Linked DNA regions of Lonchura striata. The protein of the gene in region 2 purifies or fractionates together with the protein of the main gene of each other region. This does not show direct contact. Links are inferred from orthologs where the notes say so. Each region holds a gene or a part of one and is shown on either strand. Other genes may lie near its edges. The genes, in order: PIDD1 and CASP2.

Evidence for each region.
Region 1: the proteins of CASP2 (region 2) and PIDD1 purify together in Homo sapiens (affinity purification with western blotting; 5 studies listed by BioGRID and IntAct, with this or other methods). This does not show direct contact. The link is inferred for Lonchura striata from reciprocal best matches to the Homo sapiens genes CASP2 and PIDD1.

Annotation. Positions count from the first base shown.
Region 1 is NC_134608.1:44,801,475-44,810,804, forward strand, and holds the start of PIDD1 (p53-induced death domain-containing protein 1), read right to left. Parts: upstream 4,194-9,330; 5' UTR 4,147-4,193; coding exon 3,873-4,146; intron 2,139-3,872; coding exon 1,725-2,138; intron 1,176-1,724; coding exon 972-1,175; intron 119-971; coding exon 64-118; intron 1-63. UniProt on the Homo sapiens protein: Component of the DNA damage/stress response pathway that functions downstream of p53/TP53 and can either promote cell survival or apoptosis.
Region 2 is NC_134604.1:30,172,341-30,182,349, reverse strand, and holds the start of CASP2 (caspase-2), read left to right. Parts: upstream 1-5,966; 5' UTR 5,967-5,976; coding exon 5,977-6,126; intron 6,127-10,009. Other genes in the region: TMEM139 (transmembrane protein 139), read left to right, coding at 1,141-1,388, 2,686-3,154. UniProt on the Homo sapiens protein: Is a regulator of the cascade of caspases responsible for apoptosis execution. Might function by either activating some proteins required for cell death or inactivating proteins necessary for cell survival.

The DNA.
Region 1 (9,330 bases), on a different chromosome or scaffold from region 2:
CATTCCTGCAATACCCACCATGCACCTTGTCTGTAATATAAATTCTTAATAGCAGAGGCTTACCTGCCCTCTCCTGATGCAAGGAAGAGTCTTTTTAGCCTTCTGGTACTGGATTTATCTGTGGCAATAAGAAGATTTGGGTAGGAGAAGGAGACAGAGGTTACTTAAACCAAGGTAGACAAAGAAAGGTTGAACAGTTTTGGCTTAATCCTAATCTGACAGAAGTCGCTAATGGAACCATGGTCACACTGCAGTGGGCCCCAGAACACACAGCAGCAAGAGGATGGCATGTGGCTTCGAGGTTCCAGGACATACTGAAAATGCTCGCTCTCCCCCAGGGAAACTCAGAAGCAGAGGGAATTCAAAAATATTTCAGTTTTCCTCTGCAGCTCCCAGGGCCATGTTTGATTGCCTGGGGCAATCCTGGGAATCAGTGCCTGCTCTTGTGAACATGAGCATCATTGGGAGACCCTGCTCAGAATACTGCTCATTTCATCACCTTCCTCTTGGATAAGGAGCTGTTCCTCTGCAGCCTGTGAACCTCAGGAAAGCAGGAGGCAACTGCACAGAATGACCTCTTGCTGTTCTCTGAGGTTCTAGCATAAGCCACCACAGCCTTAGGGCCAAGCAGCAAGTCCAAGAACTGGTGCTCACCTCTGCTAAGAAGGCTGGACCCCTTTAGGGACCTCTCCTGATATGTTTCCTGTGAGTCCCATTTTTACTTCCACTGTGAAACCCTACCAAGAAAGCCCAATTCCAGGGACTCCTGAGCCCTTCAGACTGGTATAGGCCTCATAAAGACATAACTAATACTGTCTGTATCCTTACAACTTCATAATTATTCCAGAGAAATAACTGCTGAACTGATTCCCCCCTGCTTGTCTTCTCTAATCCAAACCCATCTACACCCTGCTGGGCTGAGTGAGGGAACAGCTGGGCAGAACACACAGCAGCAGAAGCCTTGCAATTACCAGCCTTCGGGGATGGCTCCGTTTCTCCCAAGGGATTGCCTCGGACGTGCACAAACGGCAGGGCCTGGATCTCAGCAGGGATGGCACGGAGGGAGTTGTTCTGCAGATCAAGTCTGGACAAGTTGGGCAGGCTGGCAAGAGAGGCAGGGACTGTCACCAGGAGATTGCTGTGGAGATGCAGCCGACGCAGAGACTTCAAATTGGCTGCAGGTTGGAACAAGAAATGACCCCCCATCCGTGCTGTTAATTGCATTGCATATCAGCTCCAACCCTCTCTCCTCAGCCCATGTCAACACACACATAATGAGGGAAAAGCACAAAAGCTTAACAGCAGCAAAATCAGCCTCAGTCACAAAGTAATACAGGACCCAGGATGCTGGCCAGCAGAAGTCAGGGCCCAGTTCTGTGGACTGGTCCACACTGGACAGTGTGATTTCAAGCCCAGATTCTCATCCCACCAACCTCAGCTCTTCTGCTACCCAAAACCAGCCAGGCCAGATCCTCAGTCATTGTAAATTGTATTGAAATTTCAGCAGTGTTTATGATTCACAGAAACAGGAAGTGTGATCCAGAGTTGTTAATGCTCAAAGGCACTGACTGAACCAAGCAGTATCCTTCTGCATACCCCTTCCATTTGGCTCCAACATAAAATAGTTTATGCTAACAGCTCTGGGGTAGAGACCAAGAGTCTCAGAGGTTGTACCAAAAGCTTGGCAAAGCCCACGTCCTTCTCTTCCCCAATAAAATACATACCTAGGGATTCTGGGATGCTTAATAAGCGATTCCCAGAGAGATCCAGCTCTGTACAGTTGTGCAGATTCCCAACTTCTTCAGGGAGCAGTTCCAAAGCATTTTCTGAGAGATCCAGATCCTGCAGCAATGACAGCTCCCCAATGCTCTGAGGTAAGTCTTTCAGCTGATTTTTCATTGCAGAGAAGAAAGTCAGTTTACTCAGAGAGCCAAAGTCCTCAGGAAGTGTCATCAGGCTGTTGTGGCTCACCAGGAGCACACGGAGGCTGGGGAGGTGGAGAATGCAGCTCGGCAAGGTGGAGAGTCTATTGAAGCTGAGATCCAGGTGGGTAAGACACCTGAGGTCCCCAAAGTCAGGTGGCAAGCTTGTCAGGGAGCCATGTTGATAGGAACCAAACTCATCCCTAGCAAGGCCACCTGGGTGGAGGGAAATGGAAGAGGTCAGTATGCTACCAGGAGAGCTCACCAGCCTCATGTGAGACTCAGCACAGAGATTCACAAGATTGGGAGTTACTGATAACAATGAGCAGCACTAATCACAAAGTGCTCAGATAAGTGAGTTTTCTGCTCCGTGCCTGTTTCCTGATCAGTGAAAGGAGTGTAACAGTGAAGAGCTGTTATGAAACCAGGAGATACCACAGTGAACCAGTACAGCTCTGTTCAACACATCTGGAGTGAAAGCTCAGAATGAGCCACGCCACCCCACACATTTACCACACTTCAGCAGGATGGCCCATATACCTCCAAGCCTCCCACTCTCCTTCCTCACTTCTTCCTCACTACCAGTGGCCAACGCACAAGACTTTCTGGATCAAGGAAATAGTCCTTGCCCTCAATGATTTATCCATGCTGTTCAGAAGCAAACAGCCCTGAGGACTGGTATCTGCCCTTGCAAGACTGGGGGGCACGTCTGAGCAGGGAAAATGCGGGAGGAAAAAGCAAGTAATTCAGTATTTTCTAGGCAGACAGGAGGAAAGCAGTGAAAATGTGTGTGGGGGAAGTAGGTAATTCAGTATTTTGTAGGCAGACACAGAGAGCAAAGAATGAAAGTTCCGTATCCCAGCTTGTGACACTCAAGTTAGAGAAGGGCTGCAGCCCTGGAAAATAACTTGAGCAAACAAAAGGAAACTTCCAAATGTTCCACTTATTCATTGTTTCATACTCCTTCTCTACTGTTTTCTATTTATATCCATATACAGCAGAGGGCACCAAACATTTTTTTATGCTGCATAATGGTACAAAATGAGAACAAGCAAATAGGCACATTGCACTTTGTACATAAGAGCTTACTGAACTAGGCACATTGCACTTTGTACATAAGATCTTACTGAACTACTTTATTGCACTTCAGAATGCTCAGGGTGTGTGTACATCTCACAAAACAAGACTGATAAAGGTTACTGCTGTTATTGCCACCTTACTAAAGGGGGAAAACACAAATCAAATTATTCACATGAAAATTTATGACAGATATAGAAGCAAACCTTAGACTTTTCAGTTTTCAGCTGGAACCCTGAATTCTGCCCCAAAACTCCCCTTTTTTTTCTCATTTATTTTTAAAATTCTACCTCCCAAAGAGCAAATTATTCAGTCTGACACAGAAACAATGCTTGTTGTATTGAGATCCTACCACAATAAATTGATGAGACAGTCCAAGAATGATCTAATATTTATAGCTCTAACAGTTATCACACTTTTCTAAATTACATGCACACCCTGTGTCCTACTTTACATAAAATGTCAAACAGCATTTTCTGGTCTGTCTTGAACTTTGCTAAACTTACACTAAGCAAGACTAAATAGGGGCTGAACATTCACCAAAAGATTCAACACCTTTCAATCCCTCTTCTTGCATAACTGCAAAAATGCTCTTCTTCTAGAGAATGGCTATAGAAAATGCTGCAGCATCAACTGAACGAGACTCCAAAAACCCAGTCCCCAGGCAGCTGTAAAAACAAAGGGAGGAAATAAGAGTCCAGAAGCTGTATCATGTTGAAATCTGCATTCAGCTCTGAGCAAGGCTGAGCCAAAGCTGAGGTAAGGGGCACTGGAACAAAACACTTCCAAGGACAGTTTGTCCTGCAGATATGGAGAGAAGGATAAAAAATATGAGCTTAGAAAAGCTGGATGGCGACGGACCCCAGAATTTACCTTTAAGCACCAGGGATTTCAGGTGCTTCAGATGAGGAAGGCTGCCCAGTGTGGTGTCAAGGAGGCAATCGTTGCTGCTGAGCCGGAGGAACTCAACCTGGACCACCTCTCCCTGTTGCTCCTTGAATAGCTGGAGGAAACGGCGGCAGCCGTCAGGATAAACATCCAGGTTCAGTCTGTTGTCAGCAAGGCAGGAGCCAGCGAGGGCAGGAGCCCCCACAGTCCCCTCCTCACACTCATCCCTGAGCCCCAGCAGCTCTGCCATCTTCTGCATCTCATCCACAGGGTCTAGACATGCTCTGACTTGCCAGGCAGGCAGGCACTGGCAGCACCACAAGGCAGCTGGGACAAGGAGAGGAGCAAAGATGGCTCTGAAAAAGAACACAGGTACACAATGAAGCTTCCTGCCCCAGTCCAGAGTGGCTGGAAACAGTTCATAATCACAGCAAGATGGTAGGAAAGATTACATGCATGCTACTGAAAGCTTTGGAGCAAAGAGCACAGAAATGCAACATGACAGATGTCACAGGGGCTTCTCCTCCTAGAGAAAAACCTCTGAATTTTTCCAGCCAACATCTCAGCAGGAAATGGAGCAATTATGCACCATCAGAATAAAGACCAATATTAACTTTAAAAGACACAAATGTAAATGCCTACGCCTAATGTAGATTTCAAGATGCCTTAGTAGGAAGCTTTACAAGTAGAGAAGAAAACTGGGGCAGGGAGAGCTGAGCCAGAAGCAGAGCCCAGAGGTGACAGACTGTGACAGGTCCCCATCAAACCCGGTTGTGAAACCCAGTGTCAATGGGATAAAAGCAAATGGACAAAGGGCAGCAGAGAAAATGTGATAGGGGCAGCAAGAGGGTTAGAAAAGGCATGTTGGTGGTGCAGGAGTAACACCTCCTGAGCTGGGCAATTAAACTAGCTCACAGTGTGAATATCAGGAGCTCTTTGTTAACCCTGCCATGGATCAAACTGGTAAACAGAAGTTTCTTTTGAGTAATGCAGAATTAGAACAAACTTGGCTTTAAAGTCCAAGGCCAGCAGAAAGAAGATAATGCCCCAGCAACACCCTGAGGAGCAGCACCTTTACTGTTAGCCTGTGGGACATGGCAGCACTGATGTTCCCAAGACACAGTCTGGGGGAGGCGTCATCCCCTGAAGCAGCAGAAATGCCTCACTCTGAAAGGACAGAAATGTAAAGGCAAGAAGAAGAGGAAGCAGAGCCCAGAGGCAGCTCACAAATTGTACTGGGTCCTCGTTGAACCTGGTTTGAGAAACTGAGTGCCAATGGGATAAAAGTGAAACTACTGCTTTAGTATAAAGGTGAGCACTTCTTACAAAGACATTGTGCACAACATGTACATATCCCCCTTACAGACACATGTAAGAATAAAATCCATCAGCTATAGCTTTGTAAAACTGTCAGTGGTGAAGGAACCAGAGGGCATCTCCAGAAGCCACAGAGGCGGCCTCAGGGGCAACAGACATGGGTAGACATGGTGCTGCAGACACTCTGAAACACACATCTTCACATGGACACACAGCCCTGCACGTGGACACACACCCGCACACAGACACACAGCCTGCACACGGACACACACCCCACACACGGACACACACACCACGCATATGGACACACACACACCGCACACAGACACGCACCCCGCACACGGACACACAGCCCGCACATACACACACAGCCCGCATACGGACACACACACCCCGCATACGGACACACACACCCCGCACACAGACACACACACCCCGCACATAGACACACACACACACCCCGCACACGGACATGCACCCCGCACACGGACACGCACCCTGCACATGGACACACACCCCGCACACGGACACGCACCCTGCACATGGACACACACAGCCCCGCGCGTGGACACACACAGCCCGAACACAGACACACACTCCGCACACGGACACGCACCCCGCACACGGACATGCACCCCGCACACGGACACGCACCCTGCACATGGACACACACCCCGCACACGGACACGCACCCTGCACATGGACACACACAGCCCCGCGCGTGGACACACACAGCCCGAACACAGACACACACTCCGCACACGGACACGCACCCCGCACACGGACACGCACACCCTGCATATGGACACACACAGCCCCGCGCATGGACACGCACACCCCGCACATAGACACACACTCCGCACACGGACACACACACCCGCACACGGACACACACACCCCGCACATAGACACACACAGCCCTGCACACGGACACACACAGCCCCGCACACGGACACGCACCCCGCACATGGACACACACAGCCCCCCGCATGGACACACACACCCCGCACACAGACACGGACACACACCCCGCACACGGACACGCACAGCCGGGCCGGGCTGTCCGCAGCACGCTGTGCCCCTGGCCCGTCACCCCACGCCGCTGCCCAGGTCCCGGCAGCAGCCGCAGGCGCGCCCCGTGCCCGGCCGAGCACGGCCCCGCCGCTCTCACCCCTCCGCAGCGGCCCCGGCCCGCCGGGGCTGGGCTGCGCCGGGCTCTGCCCGCCACTTCCTGAAAAGTTCTTGGGAGCCGCGCCGCGATCCGGGGCGGGACGGCGCGGGGGAGGCGCTGGAGGCAGCGGGACATCGGCCGGCTGCTATGGGGAGCCGTGCCCTTCCTGCTGCCACAGCAAGGGCACGAAAGGAGATTTCCCGACACGGCCACGGTCCCGGCACCGCAGCCCGTCCCGTCTGGCTCCCCTAGGCTCCAAGGGAGAGGGAGGCACGGGCACCGCCGGGGGTTGTGCTCATTCCAGGGAGAGAAATGGAGCAGGGGCTGCGAGCCTAAGAGTGCGCAGGGCTGGGGCTGCCCTGAAAGGAGGTTTGTAGCCAGGTGGGGTTCAGCCTCTTCTCCCAAGAAACAAGCGACAGGACAGGAGGACATGCTCTCCAGCTGATGTCCAGGTTCAGGCTGGACATCAGGAAGAATTTCTTCATAGAAAGGGTGCTCAGGCATTAGAACGACATGCCCGGGGAACTGATCTAGTCACCATCTCTGGAAGCGTTTAAGGAAGGACTGGATGTGGCACTCAGTGCCATGGTCTAGTTGACAAGGTGGTGTTTGGTCACAGGTTGGACTTGAAGGTCTCAGAAGACCTTCCCAACTGAATTCATTCTGGGACTCTGGATGCAAGCTGCACGTGGCTGAGGGAAATTCCTCTTCCTACACATAGTAGACAGTAACCACTGACTACTCCAGGCTCTGGCTGAGTTGTAGCACTCTGAGCCTGGTTGTTTTCTGAGAGCACCTGAACTAGCACAGAAGCCCCAACACTGAGGATCTCTGGGGCACCTCCAGGGCAGCAAGGCAGGGACAGCCACAGCCCACACACAGCTCTGCTGCTGAACCAGCACTCCTGGTTTGTTTGGGTCCAATGGCTTTCAGCGCAGTGTTAACTTTTTACTTCTATTAATTTCCTCAGTGCAGGAAATCAAGTGAACAAGCACAGGTGGTGACTCCCATAATCCTATGGCGAGACCTTGCCATGGATTACCACCTCCCAGCCTCCCAGCACAGGACAGCAGCCCTGTCCCTCCTGCACAGAGCCCTGCTGTCCCACAAGCGGGTTCTGTCACCCAGTGTGCAAGAAGCCGATCCACACATGGAGCTGAGGTATTTCACAGAACCACAAAGCTACTCAGATTGGAAAAGACCTCCAAGGTCATTCAGTCCAACCCATGACAACTAGACCATGGCACTGAGTACCACGTCCAGTCTTTCCTTAAACACCTCTAGGGAAGATGATTCCACCATTGCCCTGGGCAGTCTATTCCAATGTCTAATCACCCTTTGTGTGAAGACATTCTTCTGAATATATAAGCTGAACCTTTCCTGACACAGTTTGAGGTCTTTTCCTGTTGCTAATTGCCTGGGAGAAGAGGTTAAACCCTGCCTTTCTACAACCTCCTTTCAGGTGGCTGTACAAAGTGCTAAGGTCACCCCTGAGCCCACTTTTTCCAGGCTAAACACCCCCAACTCCCTCAGCTGCTCCTCACAAGACTTGTGCTCCAGACCCTTTGCCAGCTCCATTGCCCTTCTCCAGACACATTCCAGCACCTCAATGTCTGTATTGAAGTGAGGGGCTCAGAACTGGACACAGGGCTCGAGGGGTGGCCTCACTTGTGCCAAGTACAGAGGGATGCTCACTTCCCTAATCCTGCCGGCCACTCCAAGATCATTAAGTTCCACCACTGACCAACTAGACCAAAGCTAACTAGTACATCCAGCTGTTCCCAGAACACCTCTGGGACAATGGCTCCACCACCTCCCTGGGGAGCTTTTTCCAATGCCTGACCACCCTTTCCATGAAGAAATGCAGAGCCAGGCACTGACTTTCTGGATTCATCACCCACTGCCCATCTCTGCACTGATACAAAATAAGCAAATATGAAGACTGTGTGTGAATGTGCCTGATGTGCACATGGAGGCAGAACCCAACTGATGGGACAAAGAGAGGGGATTGTGCTGATCCTGCCAGGCCAGGCCAGGATTCCAGAATTGGAGGACAGTATTAAGCTGTGCCAGGAGAGGTTTAGGTTGAACATCAGCAGTAATTTCTCCACAGAAAGAGTGGTCAGGCTTTGGAACAGGCTGCCCGGGACTGGTGGTGCTGGAGGTGTCTAAGGAAAGATTGAATGTGGCACTCAGTGCCATGTTCTAGCTGACAGAGTGGTATTCGGTAAGAGGTTGGCCTGGATGGTCGCAGCGGTGTTTTCCAGTCTCATTCACTCTGTGACTCCGTGATTTTGGGGAACCACACCCATCCCAGCACACACAACAAGGCCGCGCAGCAGCACACAGCGGGCACCCCACGCTCTGCGCATGCGCCGCCGGCCGCGCTGGCGGCGGCCGCACCCGCGGTTCCCCATTGGCCTGCGCGCTGCCCGCCGGTGCGGCCCAATGGCAGCGCTCGTTGTTGAGGGGTGGCGGGAAGAAGGCGTTGCCGAGGCCCCGCCCCTTCCTTTCGCCTCCGCCTGCCCTCGCGCGCGCACGTCCCAGGCCGCCGTCCCGCGCCGCCGCCGCCGCCCAGGTGAGCGCGCGCCGCGCCCCCCTCCGCGGCAGTGGTGCCGTCCGGCCCCGCGCCGGCCGCCGCCGCCGCGCGGGGCTCGGGCCGGATCATTCGTGGCGGGGGGGGGGGGGGGGTGGTGGGTAGGATGGGAGAACGGCGGCCATGTGCTCTCCCGGCCTGCGCCCGGGACGGGCCGGGCCGGGCTGAGCGGACACCGGAGGGACGATGCCGCGCTGCCGCTTCGCTCTCTCTTCGGGAGAGGGGTGCGGGCCGCCGCGTGCCGGCCCCGTGCTGGCACAGTGCGGAGCGCGGCCGGGCGGGCGCGGGCGCTCTGGAAGCGGAGCCAAGGGATTGTGGCTCGGAGGGAGAAGGGATGAGCGCCTCCGAGCGCACGGAGC
Region 2 (10,009 bases):
CTCGAAAGGAGGAAGGGAGAGTTTTACCTGGTGTTCTATCCTCGGGTCAGCAGTGCGTATTTTTCCTTGTGATGAAGAGAGAAAATAAAACATGACTGCTCGTACCTACCGAAACCTCTTTCTGGTAAGTAGATGCTAAAACAAATGTGTTTCTTTTTCTTCTATGCATTTAACTACTTTTGCTGTAATAAGGGAAAGCACACAATGTAACATGGAGCTATATAAAAGTGTTTATTTTTTGGAGAAGAATATTAGTAAAAAATATGCCCATTGTGTCATATTTTTTTCCTTCAAAGAGGTCTTCACCAAAACAGTGGGATGGATGTAGGTTAGTGTAATTTGTGCAAGACAGCTCCTTAATTATGATATTCTTGAATACCACAGATCCCAGGTATTCAGTCTGTATTGACTGCACACAGTGACAAGTGCTGTCTCTTTCACACAAATGGGGTTTGGAATGGGAGACAGGAAAGACTCTCATGTCTGAGAACAGAGTAAAAAAAGAAAGCACATCAACAGAGAAGGAACTGTGAATACAGACAACTGCTGAGATAAATGCCTACATTTTACAAAAGCACACATACCCTAGCTACATCCAGAACTGAAAGTTACCTTACTGCTCTAGTGCTACACTGAAGTAAGATGCTGAATTTACCAGGGCAGACAGGCCTATTAAATAATACTGCTTTTATTCTGGGATTTCAACGAATATTTGAATGTTGATTAGACAAGGTACAAATGTCCTAGAATTAACCCTTGTAGTTATTCCGTGTCTTGCTTTTGCAGTAAGCTCAATCTGTATTCTTGTTAAGCTAAGCCTTTTTAGATATGTCTGGTAATAAGTGCTGATGGTCCATTTATGCATTTTATGTTTTGCAACTGTGTCCAAGTATTCCAACTATTTAATATGCACACACACAGGAAATTCAAATATGTTTACATTGGTGTGCACAGATTTCCCAGGCTTATGATGTACATACACTTACTCGTGTGTCTATATTTTTACTTTGATCATAATACTTAGAAATGTGTTTATATGCTCACATTTCACATTGAAAAAACTGTTCCATCTTCCACAGATGTCTGTCCCTTTAAGTGCCCATCTGTTCTCAAGTGCCTGTTACCACCATCCCTTCTACCATGTGGTTAGAGACACGATGGAAGAACATCCGCCAAACCTTGCTGCTTCTGTTCACCTCTGCTCTTCTCATCGGGGTCACCATGCTGGCCATCTCCTCTAACATCAACCCAGTAGGCTACTTCTTCCTCGGGGTAGGGGGAGTGTGCCTGGTAGGCTATTTGCTGAGTGTGTTTGTGGAGTGTTACCTGAGGAATCAACATCGGCATGATGCAAATGAAATACCTCCAAACAGGCAAAGCCAAGCAGGGTAAGCAGCAACCTGGTTACTCCCCTTTAACTCTCTCACCTCACTCATGGCCATTTTAAGCACTCTTTTGCTGTTCTTCCCCTGAGGCACCAAACACAAACTCTATTTCCAAAGACAAAAGTTCTTTTCAGATTTTTTTCCCTCATTACTGATATGGAGGTTGCAAATGTCAACGCCATGCATGTCCTGTGCCTTTTATAATATGAATTTTCTTCTCCCTAGGAACTGATCCGCTAAAACTTTACAATGTTAAACCTATCCAGGCCCATTTTATTTTTCTTTGAGTAATCGAGGCTTGCCAAACAATGAGTCAGACAAGGAAAAAGAAAAAATGTTGAAGCAATACCAAATCTTATTTGGGTTTAACTCTATAAACCTTATCTTTAGAGCAACAGTTTCTTGGCAAACTTTAAGAGAAACCTGTAACTGGGTGTGTTTCTACTCTTAAAATTCCTGTTTGACACTAACAAAACCCCTGAGTTTTAGAGACTCTTGATTACTACCACCTCTTCTTGGCTTCATGTTCATTTGCAGATTCTTAGCATCAACCTAATTTAACCCCAGTTTTCCTACTGTCATTGAAGATCTTAACTCTATATGTAGCCTTGCTTCCTTGCATAATCCAGATAATCATTATCCACGTGCATAAATGACTTGACATTCCCAAATAAAATATTTCTTTTTAGAAAGACTATATAAAAAAGAAGTCTATACTGGGCCCTGCTAGTTTGGGGGCATACTTAAAGAAAACTAATATCCTTTTATTTAAAAATACAACCTGAAAAGGAAAATGTCTCCAAAGTAACATTTTTTTCTTTGCAAATAGTTCTTTTAAACAAAGAATGAGTAGCCCTTGTTTAAACTAAATGAAACTACTTAATTTTCTCCACTTCTTAAAAATGGATGGACATTTAGCTAATATATTTAAAGAATATGTCCTGATTTAGGTTCTTTATTCTATGAGACAACTAGTAGTTAGCAATCCTTAGTGATAAATTTCAACTCTAGGCGGACACCAGGTTAAGCCTAGGACACTGAACTGAACAGTGTGGGTAGCTTCACTAACTCTGAGGAGTGAGGGAAAATGGTCAGATGAGCTACCTTCTACACCAGTAAGAAAGACGTTCAGTTGGCTGGAGAGATGAGCTGATCCAGGGCAGAATATCCTGCACAGCAATTCCATTGTCTCAGTCCCATTTGTTGATTGTAGCATGGTCCCTATTGTCCATGATCCGTACTGTAAACATAAATTATGCAGTAAAATAATGAACGTGTCTGGCATTGCTCTCTGGCACAGGGTGAATGCTGCCTACGAAGCACCCACCTATGAGGAGGTGATGACCATGTCAGCTCCAGCCATATGGACAATTACATCCAACCCAGGCTCTGTGCCCTCGCCGCTGAGCGAGCCTCCCCCGTACAACGTCGTTATTGAATCCTCTGCCCAGCAAGACATGATGGTGGAGGCTCTCCGGGGACCAGTGCCACCAGACACAGTGCACACCTCTGAGACAGACACGGGCTTCAGGACACAGCTGCAGCTGGTGCTGCCTCCAAGACTGCAGCGGTTTGTTTCGGACATCCATGAGAACAAAAATGTTGAAGAAAGGTTTGAACCACTGGAGCCACTCACTCCACCACCTGCTTACGAGACTGCCATCAGTGATGAGGTCTTTGCAGATGCTCACCAGCCCTCTGCATTAGGACTGATTTCACCTTCGATGAACACAGAACCAAACCCCCACCTCAATACAGGATGTTCCTAGAGGGATGGTAAAACAGCAGATAATGTTTTGCTTAAATGTTTGTCTCACAACTCTTTCAACCAGAATTGAACTACAGACACAGCTTCTGCTACAGAATCTTTTTGCACAAAACAGAAATCAATGCAATGCCACACTGCTTTGACTTGGCAGATACACAAAACCACTGTGAGGAAAGTAAACCTCTGAAGAAGGACTGTAGGATGCAGCCAGAAGAATCTGCCTGGAAAAGTGGAGGAATAGAAATAACATTAAGCACATTCTGCCTGTGCATTGCAAACAGCAATATTGCTGAGTGCAGTGTGACTTCAGCCACCCTGAAATCCCTACAGAGAGAACAAGCCTGTGCTTCTTACCTTGCTGTTTTGCAGCAACACAAATTTATGGTCTGAGCTGTTTCTGTCCGTCTGCCACACCTGCTCCACATCCTCAACTGGGCTACATAAAAGTGTGACTGAGGGGAGAGTATCTGACTGCATCTGGAAGCTGGTACCACCTGATTCCTGTCACTTAGGGTTGAAAAGCTGATAGTATGCATCAAATGACTTCTGTTGTTCACAATGTTGTCATCCCACACAGCCAGTGGTGGACAAGAGGGAGATAAGTTTTTCCCCTGCAAGAAAGGCCAGCAATGGGATATATACACATGTAAGCATTCTCTGCTTGGACTTCATGGCTCTACAGCAGGGTTTATGTCTGCTGTATTACAGATGTACTCTAACAGATGGCATGAGACACTTTACTGTCATCATGCACAGAAAGGCCAAAGCTCCTCCAGTTCTCTGTGGGCTCTGAAGAGGTCCAGTCTGTCTGCCAAGGCAGTGGAGTGCCAGAGGACAACACTCCCAAGACATATTTGGCCTTCATCATGATGGTTCTGGGCTGTAGGCGTGTTCTAGCTATCACTGATCTCACTGATGCAGTGCCTTTTTAAATGGGTGAGCTAAACTGATCAGCTCTGCAGTGTCAAAGTGGTCTGCAGTATGCAAAAAGATGCATTTGCATCTAGTGAATGTCCAAATTAAAAAATAAAAATGCTGGAATGAATCTCCTGTGAAGAGAGCAGCAATCATCCCAGACTTGCTCATGACTGCATCTTTAATTCATATGAGGAACCATCAAACCATAGGCTAGAAGCAAATAAATTATTTCTTATTGTTTGATTCTCTATAGTTCAAGGGAGAAAAAAAATAAACCTTTTATGTTGTTTATAAATAAATAGGACTGCATTAAAAATTCCGGGTGGCATCATTAATTTTTCCTCTCAAAGGAAACACTCCACAAAGCCATGCTTTTGCTTGCATTCTGCTTATTTAATAATCTTGACTTAGAAAAGAGAGGATTTTCATTTCTGAATCAGCAGCTGAATCACTTTATTATCATTATTGATGAAGCAATTATGATACCTCAATCATGGAAGCATTAGGAGAGACAAACTTGCTGATCAAGGAAATGTGATTTCTTTAATGTCAATCACTACTTGCATTTCCCTCCTGTATCTGCTCATAGAAAAGAAAAACACCTCACCAAAAGGTGTCACCGGTATGTGACACAGGCACAGAAACTTTGAGTCTTAAATTGTGCAACTCAGGACTTGTCTGAGTACATCAAATTGCCAGGAGTCAGGAAGAAATTCAGGTGGCCAGCACAGACTAAAAACTAGCCAAAACAAAGACCAAAAATGTTACCCGTTATGATCAGTACAATTTTGTCTTCAATATTTCTAAAGGTTGGACTTATGTTAAGCTTTAGCAGATAGAATTCCTGTGCACCCGGACACATGAAATCAGTGTGCTAAAGAGTTATGTGCAGAAGCCATCTGAAGCTTTATATTACTTTTTTTGTTGTTGGGTTTTTTTTTGTTTGTTTTTTTTTGTTTGTTTGGTTGGTTGGTTTTTTGTTTGTTTGTTTGTTTTTTGGTTTTTTTTGTAAGTTGTATGAGGAGCAGCTGTGGGAGCTGGGGTTGTTTAGCTTGGAGAAAAGGAGGCTCAGGGGAGCCCTGAAGGAGGCTGCAGCCAGGTGGGGTTTGGTCTCTTCTCCCAGACAACCAGCAAAAGGGCCAGGGAAATTGGCCTCAAGCTCTGCCAGGGGAGGTTCAGGCTGGACACCAGGAGGAATTTCTTCTCAGAAGGGTTGTCAAGCATTGGAATGGGCTGCCCAGGGAGGTGACGGAGCCACCGTCCCTGGAGGTGTTTAAGGAAAGGCTGGACATGGCACTCAGTGCCATGGTCTAGTTGCCATGGTGCTGTTCGGTCAAAAGTTGGACTTGGTGGTCTCAGAGGTCTTTTCCAACTGATTTTTCCAATTTATTCTGTAACGACAGCTGAGAATTTGCTTTCGCTAGGGTGCTCGCTTGACCTTCCCTTTGTATTTCCCTTCGTGTTTCTCCGCACCATTCCTCCCTCCCTGTTAGTTACAGCACGTTGTCATTTCTGATTGCAGCTGATCGCCGCAGAAACCCTTCTCAGCAGAGGCAGAGAAACTAAAATAGGTTAAAAATATAAGATCAAAAAAACAACCCGGAGGCGCTGGGCTTCCCAGGAAAGCCGCAGCCCCGGCCCCGCAGCCCTGAGGGGGCGCGCGCAGCCCGCGCAGGAAGAGGCGGGAAAGCGCTCCCGCCGCGGCGGCGGTGACGTGCGGGCGGGAAGCGCGTCCCGCCGTTTGAATCGCGGGGGCCGCCGGGAGAAGGCGGGACGCGCGCTCTTTCCGCCCGCGCGTCGTCAGGCGGCGGCCGCGGCCCGCGGGGTCCCGCCGGCGCGGTCGGCCGGGGGCACGGCCGGCTCCTTGCCGCGGCGCCCGCCCGCGGTGCCCCCGCTCCTCCCAGGATGCTGGCGGCGTGCGGCATGCAGCGGTGCCACCAGGAAGCGCTCAAGAAGAACCGGGTGATGCTGGCCAAGCAGCTGGTGTTGAATGTGCTGGTGGAGCACATGGTAGAGAAAGATATCATCACCACGGAGATGGTGGAAATGATACAGGTACGCGGGTTGCCGCCTGCGCCGTGAGCTTGGTTTCTGGCTGAGCTCGGTGTCGTTCCTTGCGGTGGCGGCATGGAAAAAACTCACTTGTTACCTGCACGTTTCGGTGTGATCGCACTCAGAGGAGCTGCAGGGGTTTGGTTGCAGAGTGCAGAACTGTCAGGTGCTTTTGTAGGAAGGAAAAGTGCGTTTTTTCTAAGATTCCCTGTGTTCTCTTGTGCAGTTGCAGCAGGCTGCACTTAGTGGATCGGGTGGTAGCTTCCAGTCCTTTATTGCAGTTGCATGCTTATCTTATTTCTTCCACGTGTAGAAGCAGGAATAATATGTATTTCCAAAATAATACTCTGAAAATAAGTAAATGTATATGTTACGTGCCGGTTTGTTGTGGCACCTTCCACATAAAGAACAGGTGTTTCCTATATGTTTTTGTAAATTGCGTGAAGTGCATTTCAAGGCTCACTGTCAAATAACAAATGCTGTTTGTTTGTAGGGTTGTTAGTTTCCCTGTGCAGTGGGTACTGTGGAGAGAAGTCATTGGAAATAGCTTGGGATTTCTCCCAGAGGGATGCTAATGCATAGAACACTGTGCAGGATGAACATAAAGGTCTTCAGAGAAAGCAGGCTGGAAAGAAAGTGGTTGAAAGTGCACAAGTGCATGCCAGGGCTCAAGTAAGGAACTGAAGGAGTTTTTAGTCCCCTAGCAAAGTTCATGGTCCCATAATAAAGAACGTAGGCTGAAAAATAGGATTATGAACTGGTTTTTTGGGCATGAGTGTAGAAAATGCAAACCTGAGACTGATAAGGTTTTGATAGCAGTGAAAAGATAACTTCCTGATTAATTTTTGAGTCATGGTCAAAGATGATGTGAATCACTTTGCATACTTTGACGCAATGTCAAAGATAATGTTAGATGCCTCATAGGGCCTGTTAAGGATATCAGTGCTGGATTGTGGGAGCTCCAGGCAATCTCACCTGAAATAGCTCCCATCCCTAGTGGAAGAGAACAAAGATACCATGAAACACTGCAAGCCAGAGAATGAATCAAGGATTTTTCTGGGTTCGGGCTGGAGCAGTTAATTTCTTCATAGTAGGGGTATGGGGGTGTGTTTTGGATTTGTGCTGGAAACAGTGTTGTTAATGTTTTAGTTATTGTTGAGCAGTGCTGATCCAGAGCCAAGGCTTTTTCTTCTCACCCCACCAGCAATGCTGGAGGTGCACAAGAAATTGGGAGGGGCCACATCCGAGACAGCTGACCCCAACTGACCCAAGGGATATCCCACTCCATTTGGTGTCATGGTCAGCATGTAAAGGTAGGGGAAACTGAGTGACAGAGCATGGTACTAATCATGCCAGGGTCTTGGGTTTAATCTGTGTAGGGGCCATTCACTTAAGAGCTGGACTCAGTAGTCCTTGTGGGTCCCTTCCCACTCAGAATATTCTGTGAGTCTGAGTCACCACTGTGAGTGCTGGAGCCCTGCTGTCCTTGGAATGGCTGTACTCCTGGCCGCCAACAGGAAGTAGTGGATTAATTATTTGTTTTTCTTTGTTCTGTGGCTTTTGCTTTGCCTATTAAGCCATCTTTATCTCAGCTTTTCTCACTTTTATTCTTTGGATGCTCCCCACCATTCCACTGGGGAGGAGGTAATTGAGTGTCTGGTGCTTAGCAGCCCACAGGGGTTAAGCAGCAGCATTGCTGAAGTGTGAATGGTGAGTAGGGGTGGGCTTTTGATGGCCTGCACTTTGTCACCTAATAGGAAGCCGGGAGAAGGGAAGAAAAGGCAAAAAAAAGATCCTCTCAAACTTATGGTAGTGATAGAGAAAGTACTCTTTTTGGCAAGGTGCTGTTGTAGGGGAAAATTATTAAACTGAGACAGAAGGGAAGAAGTCTAAAGGAATCTTCCCCTCTAGATGTAATTGAGTAAAAGGGAATGCAACAATACTTAGTAGTGGGTTATCAGTAAGGAGAGAGGTGTTATGATGGATATGTCAGGTAAAGAGTAATAGCTCAGTGGAAAAATTATGCCTAATACAATAAACACACCTAATAAGTGCTTAAATGTGTATAAATAGCAGTAGCAGGCTGAGCAAGAGAACAGAATGACTTGAACTACTGTTTCAGGGCATTGATCTGGAAATTGCAACAAAAATAGAAATATGGCAGAGTTGGAAGGAAAGCTGGATCTGCAGATTATGCATTGTACTGGAAGGATAAAAATGAAGGGACTTTTTACTGAATAGTCCTAGACAGTGGTATGGAGAAAAAGTAAAATGTGTTTTAAAAAAAAATCACTTGAATGGAAAACACTGTCTTACCTTTTGATCTTCCTGTGGTAGGTCTGTAAATTTTTAATATTCTTCCTGTCTCTGGCTAATGTGAGGACAGGTCTTAGGAGTGCTGTTAAGTAGCCTGTTATTGAAAATGTATTGTGATGATGATTGCCAGGTACTTTAATGGAAACAGGAGGAGCCAAATGCCATTGTCTGATGAAAGAGAATATATTCTCCTGTATATATATGGATATTATAACTGACTGGTTCTATATATATCCTCCTGCACCCCCAATAAGTCAGAAAATAAAGATCTGGATACATAGTTATGTTTTAATCATCTTTTCTTAAAAACACAACGGTTACACTGGTCCTGTTGGCTTAATTTAAGGTAAACAAAAGAAGAAAATGGAAAATTTTCTGGAAATAGAAAATTCTGGAAATAGAGTGTTTAAGTAAATTTCTGTAATCTAAGGAAAGTGAAATAAGTCAAGGAGCTCAGGGAGATGAGCCATGACATTTTTTCCAAGTATGAGTTGTCAAACCAGTACTGAAACTTTACCCCAAGTAAGAAAAAGATGGGAGGGGGAGTGTGTTCCAGGAAGAGCCACTGAAGGCAAAGGTGGTTGAACTGGATGAGGAGCTCATAAGGAATATGAAGAGTAAGTAGAGAGTTTATAGGTGTACAACATTGGAGAAGAATCAGTAAGTAGAAGCTGCTTCCTTTGATGTCTGAAATGTGGGGAGATAGTAGGATCTGACAGCATTGAATTTAAATTAGGTCATTCAGAAAGATATTAAATCATGGGAGTTTTTTTCCACAATATATACTTTCAATAAAGTGTAAAGAAAAAAAGTGTGTTTACTTTGTAGTGAAAATGATGTTATAATTATCTAGGTGAAAACAAGAAGAGGGGGGTTTCAAACACGGGGGCAATTATTTTGGAAATAAAATGGGACAGTGGAAACAGCTGTTCTTAAGGCAAGCTCCAACATCTATTTGCATAAATGCCTTCTTGTCAGAGCATCAGATATTCTTCCAGAGCTCTGGGCTGCACTTTTAAAATTGCACATATGGTAGCAAGAGCTTTCTTGCTTTTTAAACAAATTGAGTACTCTGTACTGTAATCAAAGACTGAGATTATATATATACAGAAATTTAAATACTCTCTTGATACTAGATAGTAATGAAAGGATCACTGTTTTTGACAAGTGAGAAAAATTTGATTAGAATGTTTGTCAATTTTATATGCTTTTTCTATGGATTCTGCAGGTGTATAATAAGACTAATATGGAATTTTGACAGGACTTCAGAATTAATTTACAATTAGTTTCTGTTATGCCAATTATCAAACCCATCTAGAGGGGAAAGAAATAAATTAGGGATGTACTGGGAAATGAAATGAAAGAAGTTATCTTACTAATTTCTGAATGTTTGCTGAACATTATTTAGCATAACCAAAATGTGATGTTGAAGATGAAGTCATATCATGAAGCACAGCCCTTTGAGTGTTTAAGGAAGCATTAAGGAAGAAGTCTGCCAAAAGCTGACTGCTGTGCATACAAAGTGCAGAATATGAACATTCTGGAAATTTAACTTTTCAATAAAACTAAC